Coturnix japonica: one gene and its partners. The protein of the gene in region 4 binds, or shares a complex with, the protein of the main gene of each other region. Links are inferred from orthologs where the notes say so. Each region holds a gene or a part of one and is shown on either strand. Other genes may lie near its edges.

Evidence for each region. Proteins that work in one complex are often made in the same cells at the same time.
Region 1: PRPF6 (region 4) and LSM4 share a complex: the UniProt entries of both Homo sapiens proteins name them as parts of the U4/U6-U5 tri-snRNP complex. The link is inferred for Coturnix japonica from reciprocal best matches to the Homo sapiens genes PRPF6 and LSM4.
Region 2: PRPF6 (region 4) and LSM3 share a complex: the UniProt entries of both Homo sapiens proteins name them as parts of the U4/U6-U5 tri-snRNP complex. The link is inferred for Coturnix japonica from reciprocal best matches to the Homo sapiens genes PRPF6 and LSM3.
Region 3: PRPF6 (region 4) and PRPF4 share a complex: the UniProt entries of both Homo sapiens proteins name them as parts of the U4/U6-U5 tri-snRNP complex. The link is inferred for Coturnix japonica from reciprocal best matches to the Homo sapiens genes PRPF6 and PRPF4.

What each region holds. Positions count from the first base shown.
Region 1 is NC_029543.1:3,005,116-3,011,226, reverse strand, and holds the start of LSM4 (U6 snRNA-associated Sm-like protein LSm4), read right to left. Parts: upstream 4,041-6,111; 5' UTR 3,926-4,040; coding exon 3,923-3,925; intron 3,799-3,922; coding exon 3,757-3,798; intron 3,629-3,756; coding exon 3,530-3,628; intron 1,382-3,529; coding exon 1,198-1,381; intron 1-1,197. Other genes in the region: PGPEP1 (pyroglutamyl-peptidase 1), read left to right, coding at 4,315-4,348, 5,762-5,814. UniProt on the Homo sapiens protein: Plays a role in pre-mRNA splicing as component of the U4/U6-U5 tri-snRNP complex that is involved in spliceosome assembly, and as component of the precatalytic spliceosome (spliceosome B complex).
Region 2 is NC_029527.1:8,366,429-8,372,642, reverse strand, and holds LSM3 (U6 snRNA-associated Sm-like protein LSm3), read right to left. Parts: upstream 3,990-6,214; 5' UTR 3,913-3,989; coding exon 3,892-3,912; intron 3,603-3,891; coding exon 3,492-3,602; intron 2,536-3,491; coding exon 2,440-2,535; intron 2,130-2,439; coding exon 2,049-2,129; 3' UTR 1,741-2,048; downstream 1-1,740. Other genes in the region: XPC (DNA repair protein complementing XP-C cells), read left to right, coding at 3,990-4,104, 4,304-4,502, 5,380-5,513, 5,792-5,915, 6,010-6,094. UniProt on the Homo sapiens protein: Plays a role in pre-mRNA splicing as component of the U4/U6-U5 tri-snRNP complex that is involved in spliceosome assembly, and as component of the precatalytic spliceosome (spliceosome B complex).
Region 3 is NC_029532.1:809,157-814,299, reverse strand, and holds the end of PRPF4 (U4/U6 small nuclear ribonucleoprotein Prp4), read left to right. Parts: intron 1-178; coding exon 179-273; intron 274-570; coding exon 571-629; intron 630-1,044; coding exon 1,045-1,168; intron 1,169-1,784; coding exon 1,785-1,874; intron 1,875-2,371; coding exon 2,372-2,494; intron 2,495-2,632; coding exon 2,633-2,740; intron 2,741-2,817; coding exon 2,818-2,936; intron 2,937-3,114; coding exon 3,115-3,308; 3' UTR 3,309-3,403; downstream 3,404-5,143. Other genes in the region: WDR31 (WD repeat-containing protein 31), read right to left, coding at 4,515-4,675, 4,766-4,928. UniProt on the Homo sapiens protein: Plays a role in pre-mRNA splicing as component of the U4/U6-U5 tri-snRNP complex that is involved in spliceosome assembly, and as component of the precatalytic spliceosome (spliceosome B complex).
Region 4 is NC_029535.1:8,470,416-8,476,016, reverse strand, and holds part of PRPF6 (pre-mRNA-processing factor 6), read left to right. Parts: intron 1-192; coding exon 193-312; intron 313-1,003; coding exon 1,004-1,180; intron 1,181-2,041; coding exon 2,042-2,175; intron 2,176-2,623; coding exon 2,624-2,715; intron 2,716-4,631; coding exon 4,632-4,746; intron 4,747-5,601. UniProt on the Homo sapiens protein: Involved in pre-mRNA splicing as component of the U4/U6-U5 tri-snRNP complex, one of the building blocks of the spliceosome.

The DNA of each region.
Region 1 (6,111 bases), on a different chromosome or scaffold from region 4:
CAGCAGAGAAAATACTTGACTTGAAACGTTTGTCCAAAGAACCGCATCCAAAAAAGCTGCTGTGCCAAATGCTTTGGAAGCTGAAATAGGGGAAGGAGGAAAAAAAATAAAAGGAGCCTTCAGAATTGTAAAGGTCATTTCTGCGTGTTCAGAGCTGTTGGGAGGCAGCAAAGGGAGCAGCCGTCGCAGAGGGATTTTCCTCCTGCAGCCTTTGGGAGCTGTGGATGCAGCTCTTGGTGTGTCCCCAGGTCCCTCCCATCCATCCCTCACGTACTCACAGCACACACTGCTCATTAAGGGCACTCCGTGGAGACCTGGAGTTCCTTTTAAGCCCCGGATCTCCTGAGTTGAACTCAGTTTTGTTGTAGCAAGGCAGTTTGCCTGGCATTTAAGCTCCTACTGCAGGCTGAACTGAGAATCCCTGGGGCTGAGCACAGTGACCACAAAGTGAATTGTCAAGACGTGGCAGGAGGTGTGAGCACGAGAGAGAAATGCTTCTCAGGCATCCAGCAGGACTGTGCTCACAAAGGGCAGATATTTCCCCAGGCTGAAGTAGTCCAAGATAACCCAACCACGAGAAATGGGACGGGGAAGGCGGAGCAGGGTTGACCTCTTTCTATGTAAGTGGGAACCTTTTATCAGAAACATGAAATATTCATTTGGAACAGGAGGAAAACAAACCTTCAGATATCTGATGTTAAAAAAGAAGAAAGGAGCAGAGCACAAGATGAGAAATCCCATCCTGATGAGAAATCCCATCCTAATGGGAGAAAAAGATCTTTTCCTACCACTGGGATGGTCAAATTCAAGTCCAATTTCAAACAGAACAGCCACTTGTTTCCCTCCCACATCTGCAAAGCCAACAGACACCAGAAGTTTGGTGGGGCCGTGTTCTGTAACCAGCCAGGAGGGGCAGAACCAGACAGCTTCAGAGACTCCCTTAAGCTCCTGCCCAGCCCAGGAACGAGGCTCATCCCTGGCACGTCTCCTTTCTGCTCTTTGGCAGAGGCTGACTTAGAAGCCAGACAACACTCACTCAACTCGATCTTGCACAGGAGCAGCTCCAGCTTCTCATAGACCAACAGCTCTGGGTTCAAAACTGAGAAGCATCATCCCTTCCTTGCACAAGAGGTGGAATTTAAAGGCAGGAATCCCAGTCACCCCCTCTCTGAACTGAAAAGCAAAAAGGATCGTTACCTCGTCCAGCACCTCCAACACCGCGGCCTTTCTGCTGCTTCTGCTGTTGCATCCCACCACGGCCTCTGCCTTTGGAGACCACCTCTTCTTTCACCATGTCAATTATCTCATCGGGGATCCGAAGGTATTTAATTGTGCTGCCACGGATGTAACACTCTGGCATCCTCCAGAACTTGTCACCATCCTATTGGGAAGCAACGTGTTAAGCTGAGAACAAAACCACGTGCACTTAAGTTGCTTTTTGACACTTGAATATCTCCATCACTTCTGAAGCGTGCGACAGATGTAATAGTCTATTCTGAATGTACAACCCATAATTAGCTGTGAAATTCCTGTTTTCCCTTTAAAACACGCAGCCCTACAACCTGCTGGGGAGTCAGGGGGCGTTCAGCCATGAGCCACTGCAGTTTCAGCCCGTTCACAACCGCCTTTGACTCTCACAGAAAGTGAAGGAAGAAGAGGAAACAGCACCTTCCCTTTGCTTCTCATACAAGAAGAGAATCGAAAGTGGGACTGGAGAGGGAAATGTGGTAAGTTCAACACAGCTGCTGCAACACGGGGCAGTTCCAGCACATAAAGCCCCAACCAGAGTCACCTACAAACTGAACCCCTTTGTGGTGTGGATTGAGCAGCGAGGAGCATCCAGCTGGGTGTGGGGTGAGCCCAGCAGCGCACAGGAACCGCGGCTGTGGAAAATAAGAGCTTACAGATCACGTTCAAAGAAACCTTCGGGTGCCAAGTTACGGAGCAGCTGCCTCTGTGTTTTGTTTAAGGCAGTTTCAGGGCTTTGCTAGGACACAGCCCATCAGGGCTTCAGCTCCTGTGGCTGTGGGAATAGGAACTGCATGTGAAAGTTGAACAACAACTGATGTAAGCGGGAGGAGGGATGGAACCTCGTGCGCACGGCCGTGCTCTGCTGCAGGGCTTGGCTGAACACAGGCTCCTCACAACTATCACACATGGACAGAGTGTCCACAACATCCCAGAGGAGTGGGTGAAACCAGAATGCCTCGTTTCACCTCTCCAGAATCAAGTTGTACCCCCCTCCTCCTCTGCTCCGGTGTTATTTGGGGCAATGCAGCATGCACAGGCAAGTTCCGTGTGTGTGAGACAAGCAGCCTTCTTCAAACAGGCACCCAGCAAACCCCACCCTGCCTGGATCCGCCCGGCTGCACTTTGGCTCTCTATGCAGGAAGGGATGGAGCCAGGTCCCCGGCTTCCTCGTTCCAGCTCCCCATGTAAACAGCTGCCGCAGCTCCATGCCATCTAGTGGCTGATCCCCACCGTGCCACCAGGAAGGCTTCCATATATACCCCCCCAGTAGCACCCAGGGGGTATTTAGGGGTGGGGAGTGAACTGCAGACCACTCGGTGGGTATAAATGCTGAAGTGCTCTGCCCACAGCAACACAAAGCTGCTTAATGAGGAAGCAGTATTAAAGGCCGGCATCCCTTGTTCTGCAAGCACTAGTAAGGCTTTGCCACTTGCCACCCCTTCCCATTGAACTTATCTGTTTATCTGCCCCAACAATCTGTGGATCCAGATTTTTAGGGCTCACTGCTCTGCTGTTATGATCCTTCTTAAACCTTTGCTTTGTTTAAGTACACACATCACATCTCCGTGCCCCAGCACTATTGGCCAATACCTTCCTGCTGTGGGTCCAACAGGCACAGAAACCCTTCCTGAAGAAGAAGGGTTTCCCTGACAGCCTCCCCCACAGACCCGTGATGTTCCCAGGCACAGAGAGCAGCAGCAGCAGCAGGAACGTGGCCAGGCACAGGCTGCCAGGGACAAGACCAGACACTTGAGGCTGAGGTCAGAGCTCAAAGCACAGATCCCAATCTCTTCTCGGAGCACTTTGGCCATGGGCAAAAGTAGCAGACGAGGCACAACCCGGTTAAACAAGAGGCCCTAATAACTTTTGATGTGGAGTTACAGGGCGTGAGGCAGGTGATGATGAAAGGCAGCACTGTGCTCGATGGGGCTGCATGGAGCGGGCAATGGGACAGGACCTGTCACCAGCCCTTCACACTGAGCACCTTCACCCTGCTGTCAATGGGCTCATTCGTTTCTTACACCTCATAACTGCGTTACATTCACATTCAAAGCAAAAGCAACACACACAGAAGGGTGAGGATCTCTGCGAGTCCCACTCAGCTGCAGGGCTGGGGGCTGATAGCAATGTGGGGTCTATGGGCGCAATGGGGGGTCTATGGGCGCAATGGGGGGGGTCTATGGGCGCAATGGGGACAACTCATTCCTGATCTGCTTTGATGCTGTTCAAAGTAGGGGGTCTATGGGCGCAATGGGGGTCCTGGCATTGAGCTGGTTACCCGTGAGGTGCAGATGACCTCCCGCAGGTTGATGTTCATCCAGTTGTCGCAGCTCACCAGGTGCCCGTTGTACGTCTCGCCGTTCTTCAGCTCCACCAGCTGGAAGAAGCAAAGGGGGGGGGTCAGCATGAAGGAACCGGGACCGACGGGGCGGCACGGGGACCCAACGGGACCCGACGGGGCGGCACCGGGCCCATAGGCCGCAGCGGGAGTGGGCCGGGACTCACCATAGGGTGGTTCTGCGCCGTCTTCAGCAACGACAGGGGCAGCTGCGGGGGAAAGAGAGAAAGGCCTCAACAACCGGGAACCGGGACCGCCTCGGATCCCCATGTAGGGGCTCAGGGAGTACCGGGACAACCGAACCGGCCCGGCCCGGCCCATTCCCGCACTCACCATCGTGCCGGAACCGCGGAGCCGCCGCCGCGCCGGGCGCTGCCGCTCAAACCACCCCCGGCCCCACACGGGACCAATCAGAGCTCGGCGCGGTCCTCGCGGAGCCAATCAGCGTGCAGGACCCGCCTCGGCCGTAAAGCATCGCCGAGGTTGGCGGTGCACAGCGTCACGACAGTGCCGTAAATTGAAACGCCGAGCGGGAAGCGGCACGGAGCGGCGCTCAGGAGGCGCTCTAGGCAGCGAGGCGGCGCGCACTCTATGGTCGCGCGGGGCCGCTCTGGTCCTCGGGGCGGCGCGTATTCTATGGCCGCGCGGGGCCGCTCTGGGCGTCGGGGCGGAGCGCGCTCTATGACCGTGCGGGGCCGGTCGCTCAGTGCGGTGCGGGAGCGGAGATGGAGAAACCGCGGAGGGCGGTGGTGGTAACGGGTACGGGCGGATGGAACGAGACCGGGGGGTGGGGAGGGGACGGCAGGGTGGGCTCTGATTCCATTATCTCAACGGGGGGGATGCGGGATTGGGAGGGGGCGGTGAGGGGCACATGGGGGTGTCGGGGTCCTGGTGGGGGTGTACGGGGATTGGGAGGGGCGCGACGGGGCTGCGGCGTGTCACAGACCCCTCCGGTTATACCCCCCCCCCCCGGTCCCCGCTGTATTTGTCCCATCTCTTGCCCCGGGGGGGTTGGGGGGTGGTCTCTGCTTCAAACATTCAGAGCTGATGGTGCTGGATCTGCCCCTGATGGTCGCACTGAGACCCCATTGCAACCCCATGAAGGTCTGCAGGGTGGGCTCAGTGCTGTGTGCCCGGCAGGACCCTGTGCTGGGTGTGGGGTGGCTGAGGCTGGGTTTGGTGCTACCCATAAAGTTGCTCATCTGATATGCAAGGAATCGATCTGGGGGTCGGTGTGGAGGATGAGTGAGGGGGCAGCTCAGTTGGGTTCAGAACGAGAGGTTTTGGTTACATTGGGGTACCTGGAAAGCTGGTGTGATTCATATTGAAACCATCCCAATGAAACACCTGTTTGGTGCTCTCACATCTATAGCTTATATATGGAGAAACAACAAGTGCATTAGGATCCTGTGGGAGCCTTCAGGAGGGTTATTATGGGGAGATATTGATGCTGGTTCCGCTTGGAGGCTCAGGTTGATACTGAGATCCCATTGAGCTGTACAAAGCCCTGTTGCTGTTGTGTGCGGTGTAACCTCAGCCCTCCCCTTCTGCTGGCAGCACATGGGAGGTTTCCATTAGTGTGTCATGTAATATTTGTGGTCCTGACTTAGATGCAGTGCGTGCCTTCTGATTGCATTAGGCTCACAGGGTAGCTCTGCCATCTGAAATTAAAGCATATCGATCCCACGCCCAGATAAATGCCCAACCTTTGTGTGCTCGCTCAGGGAAAGATGTGATGGGTTACTAGTTAACTCCGAGTTACTCATTAGGAAATGCAGATTTGGGGACGTAAGTGTTTTTATAGCGTTGTGTAACCTTTGGTGCTCGGTGCAGGTGGGTCAGCAGTGCTTTGTTTGGTTCCTATTAAGGCAGAAGGGATTTTGGTGAAGGTGTGAGCAGAGAAATGCTGGATGGAGACTTGTCTGTGTTTGTGGGCTGTTACAATCAGGGTTAGAAGATCCAATCATGATCCCCATTCTATGCCATCACTCAGCTCCTCCATAGCTAACAAGTGTTCCTAACCTGGTCAGCAATACACCCCCAGTAGGGACTGGGTGTTACAAGCAGTGGCTTTTCTTTCAGAGCACATCAACAGCTGCACTTGGTGCTTCTTGGGTTTAAATCCAAGGTGCAGGGCTCAGCTGCTCACCGGGGGCTTTTCTTCTCTTGCAGGGTTTGGTCCCTTTGGAGAGCATGCTGTCAATGCCAGTTGGATTGCAGTGCAGGTAATGCTGTCACTTCATCCTTGGAGCATCCATTAGAGCAGCACCATCCCCTGCATCCCATGCATCCCATGCATCCCCATGCACCCCCTGCACCCCCCTGCACTCCCCTGCACCCCCTGCATGCATTCCAGCTGTGGCTCTAAGTCTGCTGCATCCACTGAGGTCATCTCGCCCTGTATGCAGGCACTCAGCTTGGTTATGTTTTGTTCAGCAATCCCTTTGCTGGTAGAACTTAGTGAGGTTGGGTTCATATAGCAAAGGCGAATAAGGAATCCCTAGGCTGACTCCTTGCATTTC
Region 2 (6,214 bases), on a different chromosome or scaffold from region 4:
AGAATCATCTTTGTACGTCACACATAATAGTGTGCTGTTCATCTCAGGCACTGCTCAGAAGCAAAGTAGTTAAACCACAGCTGATTCTAGATGGTGTGCACTCCTTCAGCTAATGCTACTAGCAAAGCTGCTGGCCCGGAGTTGAAGCATTTTACAGTTTCACAATGCAAGACACACACTGTTCTACTTAACCCTTCTGTGGGCTTACTCTGTGTCTGCACAAACATCCAGACAAACTTTTGACTTATGAACGAGCAGCAGAGTTAATTTAAAACTGTCAGCAAGTGCCATCCTAATTAAAAACAAATGACTAATTGCACAACTACAGGGCCTGTCGACACAGGCTACATACATCAACATCAAGCAAAGCAAACCCAGCTTAAATTTGAGGACACACCACCACCTAGTGTCCTATGTGAGTTAAACTCAAAACTGCATTCTACAATGACTCCATGGAGGAATTCAACAGGTTGTTTCCTAGATCCACCAATCCCTGCACAGATGGCAAACATGTGGATCACACGTAACAGCTGTATTTAGCCCTAATAACTTAAATCAGGGGTAGTATAATGAGAGATGCCTACTTACAAGACTAATACAAAACCCACTCTTCATTCAAGTATTAGTTTTAAGTTGCACAGAATTTCTTCTGCACACAAGGCACCTACATATGAAAATAGCCCCATGAACAGCTTTAAGGTAAAAAATTCTTGCAAACATTCTAACTTTCTAGAATGCAGTGCAAGAAATACACATGTGATAAGATATTTAAAAGGCTGTGTTCACTACTAACACTAATTATCAGCAACAGCTTTGGGTATCACTCCTTTGAGCTATCCCAATGCTAGAGAGCAGTTGTGAGAACAAAGGACACCTAGAGACCAGAGTTTGAAGGGTATCTATTTTATTGCCAAAACAAGTTATTACTTTTAAAAAAAAAAAAAAGTTACCACCTTGCATTTTTCACCCTTGCCACAAACTAGACATGGTAAGATAGGAAGATTTTAACTGGAGGACAGTGTCAAAGCAAGCTGCTTTTGATGACTGAATACGCGTAAGAACCCAGGCAAGTTCATAAAGCTGTGTGTTAAGGTATGTCAAGAAATGCCCAAGTCTATGTCTATAATATGCCTTTCAAATATACTCGTAAAACATTCCATAGCCATTCCAAGTAAAACATTCATTCCCCTTCCAGCCCCACCATGAGAATAAAGTGCAATCAGGAAGGCCTGAGAAACTATGTATTAAAAAAAGCAGTGTACAAGGCTCTTGTGCACCCACTGATAACCAGGAAGCATCTTTGGTTTTCTACAGAATTTAATGTGTTCAAGAACTGAAAATGGCTACAAATGGTGGCAAATGAATGCATAAATCAGGCTACTAAATTTGTTTCCTACTGATGGTATTGCTAAGCTTTGCTCTGCTAACAAAGCTGCAAGAGAAGCATCTGAAAAAGCTGTAAAAATTCTATTCTATCAATGCATTTTAAGCAGGACACAGAATTTCTCTCCTACAAGGATATGTTTACATAAAACCATAGATTAGTACACCATAGACCAACACAGTGTTGCCCTCCTCCAAAACATCAATCTGGAAAACTTCAGTATGGACAAAAATCAAAACACCAAACAAGTCACTGCTTTCTCAGGAAGCAAAGCCACATTATCACAACTTAATACAGCATTAGCACTAGAGAAGTTCATTAAAATCACCTTTTCAACAAAAACATAACACATCAAATCTGAAAGGTAAACCAAATTTATTTAAAACAAACAAAAAAAGACACTGCTATTCCCAAGATTGAAAAAACAGGGTGCTTTTACTTATGTCACACACAGCTCATTTACAGCAGTTACATTAATTCAGGGGAAAATGAGGTTTTCACACTGCTTCAGCTGACAGGTACTTTCTGCAAGAAAAACTCATTCCTCTTCCACAAAAAATAGGCAAAAACGTTCTATTAAAAAGTGTATGCAATTCTGAGACATGATCAAAACAAATCGTCCAAGAGCCTGAAACCTTCCAAGAAGGTTCAATCCTTGGTTGCTTCAGCCAACCCTCAGCGGGGGAGCTACAAGCACAACGCCGTCACCTCTGACAAAGAGCATCGGAATATTCCTTTTGGTAGACTATGAAGAAGCAAAGAAAAGATTACATTTACAAAAGAGAAGTATACAGAACACATCTACTAAGCATGTGACAAAATTCAATCCTAAAAAAACACCAACAAACATCAGCTCAAACATGCAACTTCGCGTCCTGCTGAAGATATCAAAATCAACAAGCACCTGGATGTCCTTTGTGCTTTCATAACAATTTGCCTAAAACACCTGCTAGATCCTAGTCCAAAAGGTGCAGTTATCAACACATTATTTTGACAACATGACAATCTAGATTGCAAGAAGTTTTCTATGGAGGTAAATACACTGAAGTCCTTACTTTATAAATCTCTTCGTATGTTTCTTCGTCAATCTCTATTGTTGTTACAGTTTCTTCCACATCGCCCAGAATCATATTTAAGTGCTGATCATATGCCTGTAGGAACAAAGTTCATTACTTCTTCCAAAATTCAAGCACAAGCTCATTAAATCCATAATTCTAGCAAGACACTCAAACAAAATTATTTTAACCTGATTTGGGTCAAGATGTTCCATGTGTGAACATGATGTATCAGCTGTAACTTCAACTATAAAGGCCAACATCAGTACTCCACAGCATAAGGAAGGCTCTTATACTCACTGAAACTCTCCTTCTGAAGCTCATGCACAAACTCTCAGAGGTGGACACACTTGTTCTTGTCGTTAGCATTAATCCAACTAAATATTATTTGCTATCAGCCCAGATTTCTGGGATTGGATTATCTATAGCTATGAGAGCTGTAACTCAAACAACAATACATAAATTTTAATTAAGCACTTGTTCCAAACACCCTACAAAGGGAACTTAGGAATTATACCAGTGCATCACAGATCTGTCCTCACCTTTTTGTTCTCAAATGTATTTGAGGCCCAGTTACCACATGGGAAACTGGTTCCCTTCCTCAGCACAGCACCACATTCCAGAAGGATAACACAACCAAACAGAAAACAAAAGTTTGTCTCACTAAGAGACATCGCTCTCAAAAGAAAACAAAGAACAAATCAAGTATGGAGAGAACCCAGCTGAGTACACATCCCAGCAGTCCTTGGGTTTGCTCTACAAGACAGTTGCTTGATATACTTATTTCCATCTTAACAGAGTCGAGAGTCCTTTATGAGATGATGCCTGCATTATTACTTAGTCCACAGACATGGGAATAAAAGCAAAAATCAAGAGAACGAATCACTTGGAATCATTTAAAAGACAACAGACACGGAAAAACAAAATGCACCTTTTGAATCTCTGGCAGAACACTGCACAAACCAAGCGCTGCTGTTGAGCACATTACAGTAACATAACAAATAGTTGCACATAACAGCACAGCCTGCTGCCTGCTTGGAATTGGCACTCACATGCAGCCTGCCTCTGAGCTCTCTGTCATTCCTCATCTTCACATAGATCCTCTCATCCAGACTGAGCCTGATGAGGTCGAGGGGCTCCTCGACGGTATTCGTTGTCTGTTGCTGAAAACAACACCGAAACAAGCAGTTATTCACGCAGGAGCAGTGAATACGAACTCCTCCACTCCTCAGTTTGCATTCTGAAACGCTCCCTCAAGTCCCAGTATCCACACAGAAGCAGACAGGCTGCATGGCTCAAACCAACACGGCAGCACGGCATATGGCAAAGGGAAGGCACACGGATGTGCCACCAACCCACCAGCTCTCTCTTCAGGCCCTCACCACCTCACTTGGCAGCCGGGGTGGCCGCAGAAACACCGCTCCCCCCTAAGAAAAGTAAAGAGCCATTCACCTGATCCACCTCGTCCGCCATCTTTCAAACCGCTTCTCGCTCTCTCTCGTGATACTTTATGGCCCGGCCTCTTCCCCCCGCTCTGAAGGGGCGGGGTAATGCTCGCCGCTATGGCGAGGAAGCGCAAAGCGTCGGTTCAGCGGGTGTCTGCCGGCAAAAGGCGGCCTGGAGGGGTGGGAGTACGGCGGGATGGTGCGGAGGAACGTGAGGAGGGTGAGTGTGGGAGGCTCGGCTTCTGGGGCTGCTCTGCTTTGAGGGAGGGAGGCAGTCAGCATGGAGCTCAGCAGCCCCCCATGATGGGCCGGGGCTGGAGTTGTTCAGTGCAGCTCTGCTGGAGCCTGCAGAGATATTGCTATGTATCCATAGGGATGAGGTTATATCCATGAAGAAAATTTCTTTCTTTTCGATGTAGGTGATTTTGTTGAAGAAAAACACAGTGTAAAGAAGAGCAGAGCCGGAGTTGCAGCTAGGAAGAAGGAGGAAGACAGTGATGCTGGAATTGCTAAGTTAGCAGAGAAGCCTTCAAAACAAAAAGGGGTAAAAGGGCGAGTGAAAGAAAATGAGAGAGACCCTGAAAATAAAGGGGATGATCACGAAGAGGAAAAGTGCAGGTAAGCTTAGCTGTTGTTCATCATGATGCGCTCTGTACCTCACTGTGGGTTGGATGTTGTGGTTGTTGTGGGTTGGATGTTGTGGTTGTTGTGGGTTGGATGTTGTGGTTGTTGTGTAGGGTCCATTGCCCTACAATGTTCACATAAAGGGGTTACGTTAAGCTGGCAGGCCAGTTTAGTTTGTCTGTGACACACAGCTGTACAGAAGTACTGCCTGGCTGATGGCAGGATCTGTCTGAGGAAGGCAGTCTGCATGGGAAGCAAATATCTGAGCCTTTTCAAATCAATATCGTAATTGTAAGATAGCGTTTCATTTATTTCTACACAAGACTAGGGAGGTTTTATGGCATCGAGCATGAACAGAAACATTGCTGTGAGATATATGGTCTTCCTGTAGAGATTTCAAGGGGGATTGTATTAATGAGAAGAATGAAGCTGCTTGGTCTCATTTCACTGGCCAACCAAATCATTGGGTGTTAGCGTAGTGAAACACAAGCACTTCCAATCCCAGTGCATTATGAGGTCTCAGTAAAGACAAATGATTCAATGAAGACATTCATACAAGCTGTTAGGAAAGATGGGTCATTGTTTTTAGGTTCAGTCATCTTCATTCAAACAACCTGTTAGAACCAGGACCTGTGTCTGCACTGAAACGTTGTTGTTCAACGAGCCTGTAATTATTCATGGCAAAGACTGCTCGCTTTACAGGCACACACACGGTTCAGTTGTCAAATACTTACAACCTTTACATCTGTTGTTACTGATGCAGAGATGATGCTTTGTTTATTTCCTCATTTTTGTTTTCATTCCCTTCCATTTTTAAATGAACAAACCCATGCACTTCCTGATGCTAAAACCATTCTTGTAATTTTAATAGTGACTCAGTGAAGGCCCCTCAGAAGGAGGTAAAGTTGAAGAGAGAATCTCCTATTAAAAAAGAGATGGATGAAGACAATACTGATGATGATGATGACGATGATGAAAGTGAAGATGAATGGGAGGACGTGGAAGGTAACAACTGCGTGTCTATTCTAGTTGTAAACATCCTTGTATGCAACAGGTCCTTTTTGAGCCATTCCTTGTTTTGTATACTTCTTATACTTAAGAGTATGCTTCATGTGCATATCTGGATTATAGGCTCTTATCTCGCAATACTTTGGAATAGTTCCAAAGTAGGAAAGAAACATACAACTGCTGTTTTGAAGGTAGTGCTTTGAATTTGACTATTTGTTGCTGTATTATTCATTGTTCATTCAATATCTAGTAACATTCTGTTTGTTTTTTCCCAGAACTCCAGGAGCCTCTTGTAGATAAGTTAGAAGAAGGTGCTGTTCTTCCTGAAGTTGTGCTGCCGAGCAATCCTGTTGAGATAGAGATTGAAACCCCGGAACAACTTATGAAGAGACAGAGAAGGTAAAAATGGAAGGTAGTAGAGAGCAGCTCAGGAATCTAGGAAGGCAGATAGACAGGAAGCCATAATATCCTTTTATTTTTTAATCTTATGCAGAGAGAAAAGGAAAGCTGAGTTTGAAACTTATGTTCGAAGAATGATTAAACGTTTCACTAAGGAAGTTCGTGAGGACACACATAAGGTACTGGTCAAAAAGAAAAGACTGTGCTTGAGATTTCTGAACTGATACGTAATGAAAAAGAAAGTAGGTTTTGAATAAAATAATTTGGGGCCGTGGCTAGAAGTGAAAAAATAACAATGT
Region 3 (5,143 bases), on a different chromosome or scaffold from region 4:
GTTTCTCTTAGTCAGATAAACTCCATAATCCTCCTGCTTGGGGCTAGAGTAGCTCTGAGGTAACATCTCTCTTTGGAAGTGATTTCCCTGTGGTCTCTGACTTCTGCTTCAGTCACTGGCCAGGACTGTCCCTAAGTCATTTGTATTTATTCATTGTTTTCTCTGTATTTTGTTGCAGTCCTTGAATAACTTCTGTAGTCAGATTGGGGACGATCGCCCGCTGTCCTACTGCCACTTCAGTCCCAATTCCAAACTCTTGGCTACTGCCTGTTGGTAAGTTCTCTTCAAAGCATTTACTTTAGGGCATGGTGTCCAGTCTTTTGGCTTGCCTGGTCCGCACTGAGTGTTTCGTCTCTATAAACATTCAGGAATGTCGATGAATGTCAGCAGGTGCCATTTTGTCCTCAAGGAGGAATTCAGTGACACACCTTTTGCTCCATGTGTGTTTCCATGTCAGATGCTGTTTTGTCAGACTGCCACTTTCCCACTGCAGAAGCCCTTGGTGTAGTTTGTTTGATAAGCTGTTTGATGTTCCTGTCTACACTGACTTCTGTTTCTTGTGTTCAACAGGAGTGGACTGTGCAAGCTGTGGTCTGTGCCTGACTGTAACCTTGTTCACACCTTACGAGGTAAAGAATGACTTTCACTGATATCCTGTGTAATTCTTTTGTTCCTCTCTATGCTGAATTCCTGTGCCTGAACTGTTTTGTGACTGAAAATGTGTCAGATAGTCCAGAGAAAGTCCTGACCTTTCTCTTAAAGAAAAAAACAGAGTTTGTTGTTTCCATTTCTGGATGATGATTTATATTTTGCTTCACTTCAAAACCTGGTTTGAGTTATTTTGAGCCAAGTATTAACATTCTTGGTCAGACCACGTAGTACCAATGAGGTTCTCTGAACGTGGGCACAACTAAATACAAATCTCTTCACTCACATCTGGTGAATTTTCACTGTGTTTAGAAGGCTGCAAATCTCAGTGTTTGATATTCTTAAATGGGTGCCAGTGGAATTGTAATTTGGATTTTGATTTTCCTTTCTCTTAAGGACACAGCACCAACGTAGGAGCAATAGTCTTCCATCCCAAAGCCACTGTCTCCCTCGACAAGAAGGATGTTAACTTGGCCTCGTGTGCAGCTGATGGTTCTGTCAAACTCTGGAGCCTTGAAAGGTCAGAGTGGCATGTATAGATGCAGTGTTGTTGTTTGGGGTTTATCTTATGAAATAATGGACGTTTACTTTCCTCCTGGCAAACACAGCCTGTTATTGTAACACCAGTGCAATTCCCAGCCTCCTTGAGCAGAGAAAGACAGTTGTTTATTAGTCTCACGTGACCACATTTCTTTAGTCTGCTGCAAAGATATTCTCTGTACTGTTCTGCTCTTCCACTGCAGGCTGCTGCACATAGCTCTGGGAGAATAAATATTTGCTCTATCCTGCCTGCCCTGGCTTTCTTCAGCATAGCAGAGTTTGCTGCAGTATGGGATGTTCTGTGTAGTGACAGCAAAGACAGTTTTTGCTGTTGACGCTTTCAGATTAATGAAGGGCCTTGTCAGTTTTTGAAACTAATTGTTCCAGGAGAACTTACTGCTGAGGTTATGAATGTGGATAAAGGGCTTTCACTTAGAGCTTCAGCTGTGTGAGCAGAAAGCAGTGTTTAGAGTCAATAGTCAGAACACTGACTTTCTTGTCTGGCCTGCATTAAAGTCTGTCTCACTGTGGTCACAGCTGCAAAGGTTTGGCTTGAGTCAGCCACCCTGACCAGTGTCTGATCTTGTGTCTTTCAGTGACGAACCAGTGGCAGATATTGAAGGCCACAACATGCGAGTGGCACGTGTGATGTGGCACCCTTCCGGCAGGTTCCTGGGCACTACCTGGTAAGGGGATTCTGATGGGTTTTTTTTGCTTGTTTAAGATGCTATTACTTACAGTCACTGGGATTCATGAAAGCCTTCCTTTCCCTGCACCTCACGTGAGACCCAGTTGGACACAGTGGACAGGAGGTGGTCTGAGGAGGACAGTGGTGCTGAGGGAGAGGGGGACTGAACCGGAGCTAAACAGTACAAAGGTGATCTGAAAGTCCAGTTCCAGAAGCAGAAATGGTTGCTGCTGCTCAGGGGATTTCAAGTGCTAAGGGAGCAACACTTAAACTTTAAGGATGCTACACTGATGTGGAAGTGGGGAAGCTCCCTGCTCTCCCAGGAGCGTGCTGAGGATCTTTGCGTTTCTGAATTTATAGCTTCATTTCTGGCTGTGATTTCCTAATGCTCAATGGACCAGGCAGAGTGAATGTCCTGACAGCTGGTGTGTGTGTGCCCAGTTCAAATAGGATTATGTGATCAGATTTTAATGCTTTTTTTTCTTTGTTATAAAGTTACGATCACTCGTGGCGCCTGTGGGACTTGGAAGCCCAGGAAGAGATTCTCCATCAGGAGGGGCACAGCAAAGGGGTCTATGACATCGCCTTTCACACGGACGGGTCTCTTGCTGGGACGGGGTGAGTTTGTTTGCATCAGGACTGTATGAGAAACATTACCAAGATTTTGTTGCTCACTGATTCCAAAAGCCACAGTACTGGTGTTCTGTCAGCTGCTGAAGTCTGGAGGGTGATGCTGTTTGGGTTTTCTCTTCTCAGTGGACTGGATGCTTTTGGCCGCGTGTGGGATTTGCGCACCGGGCGCTGTATCATGTTTCTGGAAGGCCACCTGAAGGAGATCTATGGACTTAACTTCTCCCCAAATGGGTAAGACAGGAGCTTGCATGTGTTGTGTGGGAGCTCTGAGTACAAAGCTCAGCTTCCAACACATTCTTCCTTGGCAGATACCACGTTGCAACTGGCAGTGGTGACAATACTTGCAAGGTCTGGGACCTCCGGCAGAGAAAGTGCATCTACACCATTCCTGCCCATCAGAACCTGGTGACTGGGGTGAAATTTGAACGTAAGTATCTCCTGTCTGATGTTCCATGTTCCTGCTTTTTCTCTACTGAGGTGGCAGGGAATGGGGCAACTCAAAATCACATCCTTGGATCCGGAGGATCAGTAGTGAGTAGTGGTAGAAGATTTGTCATGTATTTATTTGCAAAACTAATTTCTCCCTTTTTTTCCCTCAACTGCAGCCAATCACGGTAACTTCCTGCTGACAGGCGCCTATGATAACACTGCCAAGATCTGGACTCACCCTGGCTGGTCCCCTCTGAAAACACTGGCTGGTCATGAGGGAAAGGTGATGGGACTGGACATCTCCCTCGATGGCCAGCTGATAGCAACGTGCTCCTATGACAGAACCTTCAAGTTGTGGACAGCAGAGTAGCTCAGAGGCACTGATGATGAACTGGGACAGAGACGATAATAATGGCTTAGAACTAAGAGCTGGGTTTTTGTATATTAAATTTTTTTAAAAGGAAAGGAATTGGCTGTTGCAACATGTATCGCAGTGGCTGTGCTCAGTAGCTCTTGGTTTCCTGGCTGAGGTGGTTTTGAAGCATCTGTGCTGACCAGGGCTTGGTTGGAGTCAAAGCTGGGATGATGTTCTTCCACTTTTTAGGACTTGTTTTGTATTGCAGATAGTGGTTTTCTGCAGTAATTTGGAGATGAACCACCTTCTTCCACCTCCCTTCCAAGACAGGCTCATGTGTTTGCTCTGGTCTGTTTCGCACTAGTGCAGGGCTCACACAGCACTTCATGTACTGTGTTGTACGTCCTCTGTTTTCTTACCTTGTTTTCCAGGATGCTTTAACAGCAGTCTTTGTCTTCTGAAAATAAAGCAGAGTTAGCTGTGAGAGGAGAGCGTACCACAGTTCCTCTGCAGGTTGGTCTCATAGAGGCCTGTATCTCCTTTGTTTCCACTTGCAGAGGATGTTTCAGTGCACATCTCATGTCCCGGCTCCTTCAGCTGTCTCACAAATTGGGTGTTTCTCCTGTTGAAGGTTTTGATGCGTCTCACCTGAGGTTGATGCAAAGAAAGCTGCTTCATTGTAGGGTCATCTTGTTATAACATCCACTTATTTGTTGTTTATTCTTTAAACTGAAGATATCAGATGTGTTCTAGAAAGTCAAAATGTGGCTTGAACGTGTGCACTTGCTTCTGGGTCTGACTAAGAAGTGGAAGGATTACATGGGTGTTGTGATACATGGTTTGATTTCTGTCTATCTTAAAATATCTTCAGGAGAAAAGAGAAAGCATTCATTGAACTTGAGCACACATAGCTGGATATTTAGGCTTACACAAGAGAACACAGCAATTAAACCCCTTTGTAGCCAGGTTTTGTGGGGGTTTTATGACTCAAGCCCACAGTACTCTTTCCGGAGTGAGAATTTGGCCTGAGTGCATCACTGGTTCAGCTTCTCTTCTAGCCAGCTCTAACTGCTTCCCACCACCCACAAGCAAATAGTGAGCGCCCCCTGTGCACCATCATCTGCATCACTGCCCTGCAGGCACGAGGTCACCCATTGCCTGCTGTCAGTGGACTTTGGGGATCAGATCCCCATGGGCAGTCTGCTGGGAAGGATCCTACGGTCAAAGTGTTGCCACCTCCTCCAGCTCCAGCTCCTCGAGGTGTCTCAGCTGCAGCACGTGGATCCCTGAGTGGAAGCTGGCACAGAGCAGCGTGGAGCCATCACAGGCAGCCAGCGAGGACAGCGGTCCGGCTCCCTCAAGACATGTGGTGGCCAGGCAGGCTGAGGAGGGAAGAGAAAAGTCACTCCAACACCAGGTGAGATGATCAGATTTCTATTTTTTATCCTATCCTGAATTAATGCCCTGCCTACCTCCAGTGTCCCGGTCCCAGACCTTCACTTTGCTGTCGTGTGAGGACGTGGCAATGCAGGGGGTGAGAGCAGGATCTCGTGGGAGGAAGACACATGAGGCCATGGTTTGCAGATGCCCTCTGTACTCACACACTCTGCTCCTGGTCTGCCGTAGGTCCCACAGCTGCAAGGCAACAAGCAGCACTCAGAGCTCGGGCTGTCACTGCCACCTGCCAGCACGGAGGGGTTTTACAGAGAGAGGAAGGTGGCTTTGGTTAAGGAGCTCCTCGCTGGTCCTCAGAGCACATCTCTGCCTTCATCCCCATCAATGTGCACCTCCCACAGCACTTCAAGACCCCAAAACAGCACTTCAGACCCCAAAAAGGTTTTCACCATTTA
Region 4 (5,601 bases):
GTTGCGCATCTGTTTCGTAGAATTTCTATGAACTTCAAAGGTCAAAGAAGTTTGGGAGGAGCTTGAATGGGAAAAGAAGTCCTAATGTGGATTGACAGAGCTCTGACTTCAATTTTAATCTGGATCAAACGAAGGATTAAATCTGCTGTTGATTCACTGTATGCATTTGTCTGTCATTTTGTGTTCTTGCAGGCCAACCCCAACAGCGAGGAGATCTGGCTGGCTGCCGTCAAGCTCGAGTCGGAAAACAATGAATATGAAAGAGCGAGGAGGCTGCTGGCAAAAGCTCGCAGCAGTGCCCCCACTGCAAGGGTAGGGATGTGTGAAGGGTGGAGAGGCCAAGGCTTCTCATAGCAATGGGGGAGCTGAGTCGTAAGCAGGAGCTCCTTCAGTTCTGTGGCCTCAAGTGATTGACCAGATGGCTCCCTGCCATTGCCTTTTGCAGGCACCGTAGCACTTCTCCAGCAAATTGCAACACTCGGTTGCAGCATGATGGGAACAGAGGCTGGGATCAAGTGAAGGGTTTCACATTTTTTCACACAAATGGCAAAAGTCAGGAAATTCCCAGTTTACAGCTGTTTGTATAATGTTCATGTTGCATAAAAGCGTGTCTTGGAGAAGAGAGAGTGAAAATATTTTTTGCAGAAGACTCAATTATGCTGTGCTAAAGACGGTGCTCATCGGATTTATTTAAAGTTACAGTCTTGTGTTTATCTCTACGGTTACTTCTGCTGTGATAAATGTTGTCAATATTTAGCTGTGCATACAGAATCGTTTCGATTTGACCAAGTAAGAGGAAAAAACCTGGTTTGCTGTGTGGAGATTTGGACCTTTTAGATTGTCCTCTTCTCCTGTCAGTCATGGAGCCTTCTGCTCCAAACTAAGGCTCATGAATAACTTCCCAATGTATGCACAGACATGGGAACCCACTGCATTGGCAGAGTTCTTGTTTTTGTTGCTTTTGTTTCTTCCCCAGTGATAAACGGCTCCGTCTCTTTGTCAGGTCTTCATGAAGTCTGTGAAGTTGGAATGGGTGCTGGGAAACATTGCTGCGGCACAGGAGCTTTGTGAGGAAGCCCTGAAACACTATGAGGACTTTCCCAAACTGTGGATGATGAAAGGACAAATCGAGGAACAAAAGGAGCTGGTAGAGAAAGCAAGGGAGGCTTACAATCAAGGGGTAAGATGCATGTTATTGTAAGCTTGCTTTGTGCTTGTGATATGGACAGATGTCTGTCTTCAAATCAGGATGGAGAGGGCTCTGTCCCATATTAACAGTGGAGGTGATTTCTCTCCCTGTCATTGGTTAAAACAGTAAGAGAAAATTATTAGGGTGTTGAAATAAGCAGTGAGAATTTATCTCTTAGCTGGTGTGTGTGTGCAGAATTCGCTTTCTTGCTTGAGAGAGTTTGCTGTATGCTTGACTACTCACTAGCAGGAATGAAGTCATTACACAATAATTCTCTAAGACCTGCAACGACTAAACAGCAGAACTTCTTAACAGAAGACCCTGCTAATAAGGTTAGGTAAACACTGTAAAAGGAGATTGTCTGCTGAGTACTCATGTGTCTTCTAAATGGTAATTGGCGTCCTGTAGGAATGCTCCTGAAACTCATCTGCCCTGCAAGTAATAGGGAAGCAGGTTTCTGCCGGTGTCTGTATCCTAATGACTTTGTGAGCTTCAAGGGCAATGCGTTTCCTGCGTACTCTGCAGGTGTGATTTTGTTATTTATTAGAGCTCTCCATCTCTAGATGGAGCACAGGTCATAGATGTACTGTTAAGGGAGGTGTATTCTTTCTTTTTGCTTGGCATTGAGGAAGTTTAGTCATAGTGGTGTTCTTGGTGTTTTGGTTATAGGAGAAACTAGATTTCTACTGTTTTAGTGCTATATGATTAACTAGGAGAAATCTGAGAGATGTGGTCACTTATCTCACTTCTGAACTCCTCAGAAAGATTCAAGGAAGGGATTCCTTTTCTATGGGGGTTATAATGTTTTCAGATCTGCATAGTAACCGTACCTTTTGTTATCATATTAAACAGCTGAAAAAGTGTCCCCATTCCATCCCTCTGTGGCTTTTGCTGTCCAGACTGGAAGAGAAGGTGGGACAGTTGACCAGAGCAAGGGCTATCTTGGAAAAGTCTCGCCTAAAGAATCCAAAGAATGCGGATCTCTGGTGAGTTGTGTAGACGTGAACTTAGTTTGAGCTGCAAGATCGATGCATGCATGAGGTATCTCACACCTCAGTTATTTGATCACAGAACTTATGAGCACACCTATCCTAGCACTTCTTCTGAAGAAGGGCTCTGGAGATTCTGGCTGCTGTGTGGCTACTCTGAGGAGCTGGGGACCTGTTGTTTCTTTACAGATAGTTGCAGTGTAGAGAACATGAAAATCAAGGGGTCTTTTGTTTCTATCATAGGTTAAAAATGATATGAGAAATGGACTAGGCCATTGCAAAATGTGTTTTTTAATGGGGAGGAATGGGAAGAAGTCAGTAAGGTGCATGTGTTCATATGGGCATGTTTGTAATTTCCAGTGACTTTCATGTGACTCAGAGTTGATTTGTGTTACAGAGTGAATGTGTTACAATAAATATCATCACTGGGTTTCTTTATTACCAGGTTAGAGTCTGTGCGACTGGAGTACAGAGCTGGGCTGAAGAACATTGCAAATACTCTGATGGCCAAGGCCTTGCAAGAATGCCCTAATTCAGGTGAGCTGGGTGTCATTTTGATCTTAAACCTGGTTATGTGTTTGCTCAGTTAGTAAAGGATTATCTTTATCCAAGATGGCCTTTCTGGCCATGTCTCAGAATAATGCATTTTAGAGAAGTGACAGCCATTCTCCTGCAAAGGGAGGGTTGGGGGGGGCTTTGTGAATGATCCTGGTTACTTTGTAGTGCTTCACACTGAAGGGAACATGGGTTGGTGTTGGCATCATCGATTTTGTGGTCCACAGTTTGTCAAGAGGTTTCATGCAAAATAATCATGGACATGGGTGGCTTTTCTCTGAGGCTGGTAGAAGTCTGTGCCAAGGTTTAAAACTGAAGAAAGACTCTCAAGCTTTTGTAATTAGGGAGTTTGGTGGAAAAAGGATGTTTTTTCCCCTGTCTCATTGGGGTATAATTGACCATAGGAGACTTCCTGTTGTTGGTTTGCCCACACTGATTGCACTACTAATGGGTTTTGATTATTTTAGCTCATCATATAAGCTCTATTTGCCTTTCCTTAACGAAGTTGGTTGGTTCTAACCAGCAGTGGAAACATTTGCCTCTTGGGATGGGAGGAGAAAATGGAAGTTTCCTTTCTTTTTTTTCCTTTTTGACAGAATTGTGGGAAGGCTTTAATTCTTTGAACGTGTTGACATCTTTGGAGAGATGTCACTTCAGTAGAAAGTGTGGTAACCTACCACAGGGCAAGTCTTTTTAGTTTGCCTTCAGGCTGGTTTTGAAAGGTATTTAGTTGATGACTGCTTAAGTCACCCCAGTGAAGTAATGGGAGTTAAGTGACTTTTATGGCTTGATCAACTCACTGCAAGCTGCTTGCTTTGTGAGTGGGCCAACAAAGTAATACCAGCTTTATTTTATGAAGGACCTAACACTTGTTGTGTTTGCCACCTCAGGCTCTTCTGCAGATTCTGCCTGTTGCTATAGAAATAGGCAGTAAGATCTCAGATTCTGTTTAAATAAAATAACTCCCAACTCTTAAAAGTTTACAAACCAGGAAGAAAAACCTGCAGGATTGAGTTTGTTAGACACCTACAATTGTGTAAACCTGACCCGCGTCCATCAGTTGCTGATCTGATTACCATTGCTTGTGGCTGACATAGATGGCACAAAGGATAAAATCATGAACTGAAATACATCAGTGTTTGTGTCCTCAGCAGGACTGAAAATAGAGGTCTGTGAGAATGGTTTGACTCTATGTAAAGAGCAAATCTAGAGTTCTGCTGCAGTCTGTCACTGCTGTCATCTGAGTGTGTTAATTCCCATGTGCAGTTTATGGGAAGTGAGAGTGCTTTGATAGAGTCCTGGCAGACCCAAGCTTTCAGGCTTTGCCTTGAAGTGATCAACAGGTATGGTTGACTGGCGTTAGAAACTGAAGATTTCATGCTCCTCTGAGCATGTTTCCTTTCTTGCTTTTGGCAGTGAAAGGAACTAGGGATTAAACCCAGCTTTCCTGGCCCTACCGTGTCCTTCGTCATATGTGTGGAGAGCCAGCATCAATAATACTGTGGTGTTCTTTGGCACCTTTGAAACTGCTCCCAAGTGGTGTACTTTACACCTTGTGGGACTTCACCTGCCACTGTAGCTTTCCATTCAGACCAGCTTGTTGCTGCTTCTGAGTTCCCCTCTGCTGTGTGCGGTGTCTAATTGGAAAGGCTTAAGCTCTGTGCTCGTGCACACTGCTGTTGTGGTACAGAAACATTCAGAACTGAGGGTCCTTTGCTAAATTTCAGAGTATTGAATGAAGCATCCATGATGAAAGAGCGATTTGAGACAAGGTGGAGGTGCAGGGATAACTTCTGGGGTGGGCACAGTAGTGCTGCTCACTTCATAGAGCGCTGGCCTGATGATGGGGAGGATTAATCTCTGATTCACACTAAATCTTTCTACTTCACTTGATTAAGGAATCCTGTGGTCAGAGGCAATTTTCCTTGAAGCGCGACCACAACGGAAGACCAAGAGTGTGGATGCCCTGAAGAAGTGTGAGCACGACCCACACGTTCTGTTGGCTGTGGCCAAGTAAGTTCCCGTCCTGATGTAGTAAAGACACTCATTTTGGTGTGTGTAGCTGCATCCCTGATGAGACATTGCACTTGAGCACGACCACGTGATGCTGGCTGCAGCAGCTCTAATGAGCCTCAGAGCAAGTAGCAGCTCTCAAGCTGTCTCCTAGTAACTGCAAATCTGCTGCTCTACCTTGATTCAGAACAAGGGATGTCAGCCTGCCCTCAGGCTCTCCTGGTGGGTTTGGGAGTGCAGCATGGACAGTAATATGTTCACATTGAGTCCTTTTCTACTGCTGGGTTTGAAAACCATCTTGGTGCCCCTCAGATGGAATTTTAGCATGCTTTCAGATAGGCTTACTTTGGTTTTACAGGATACGTTTTAAGTATTTTTGAAAACATGGACCATTTCTGCTGGTTGATGTTTGCATTTTAAGTGTCTGATGCTGTACTCTTCATCTTTTCTCTCTATTCATCTCTTCATCTATTTCTCTCTATTGTCAGATACTTCTAATCTTAAGCTACTTTGTGCTGTTTGTTTTCTCCATGCACAAATTTCTGCTATGTCAGTTTTCTTTCAGCGGTGACCCTTCCTGGAATGCAGACTACAAGTCACACTCTAGTTTGCTTCACTAGAACAGGAAGAGAGTCTACTAGGAATTGTCTGCTTCTCTAGATCAAGTTGTGAGGTTTCCAGTGATGAGGAACTATTATTAGAATTGACTCACACCATATCCTTTCTGATCTGATTGCAGACCGCTCCACAGCAGTTATGACTGGAACAGGCTTCTCTTCCTTTGTGAATACCAGCAGAGGTTAACGCAGAAAGCATGTTGCCCAAAGAGTTGCCCAATTCTTTCACAACTCTTTT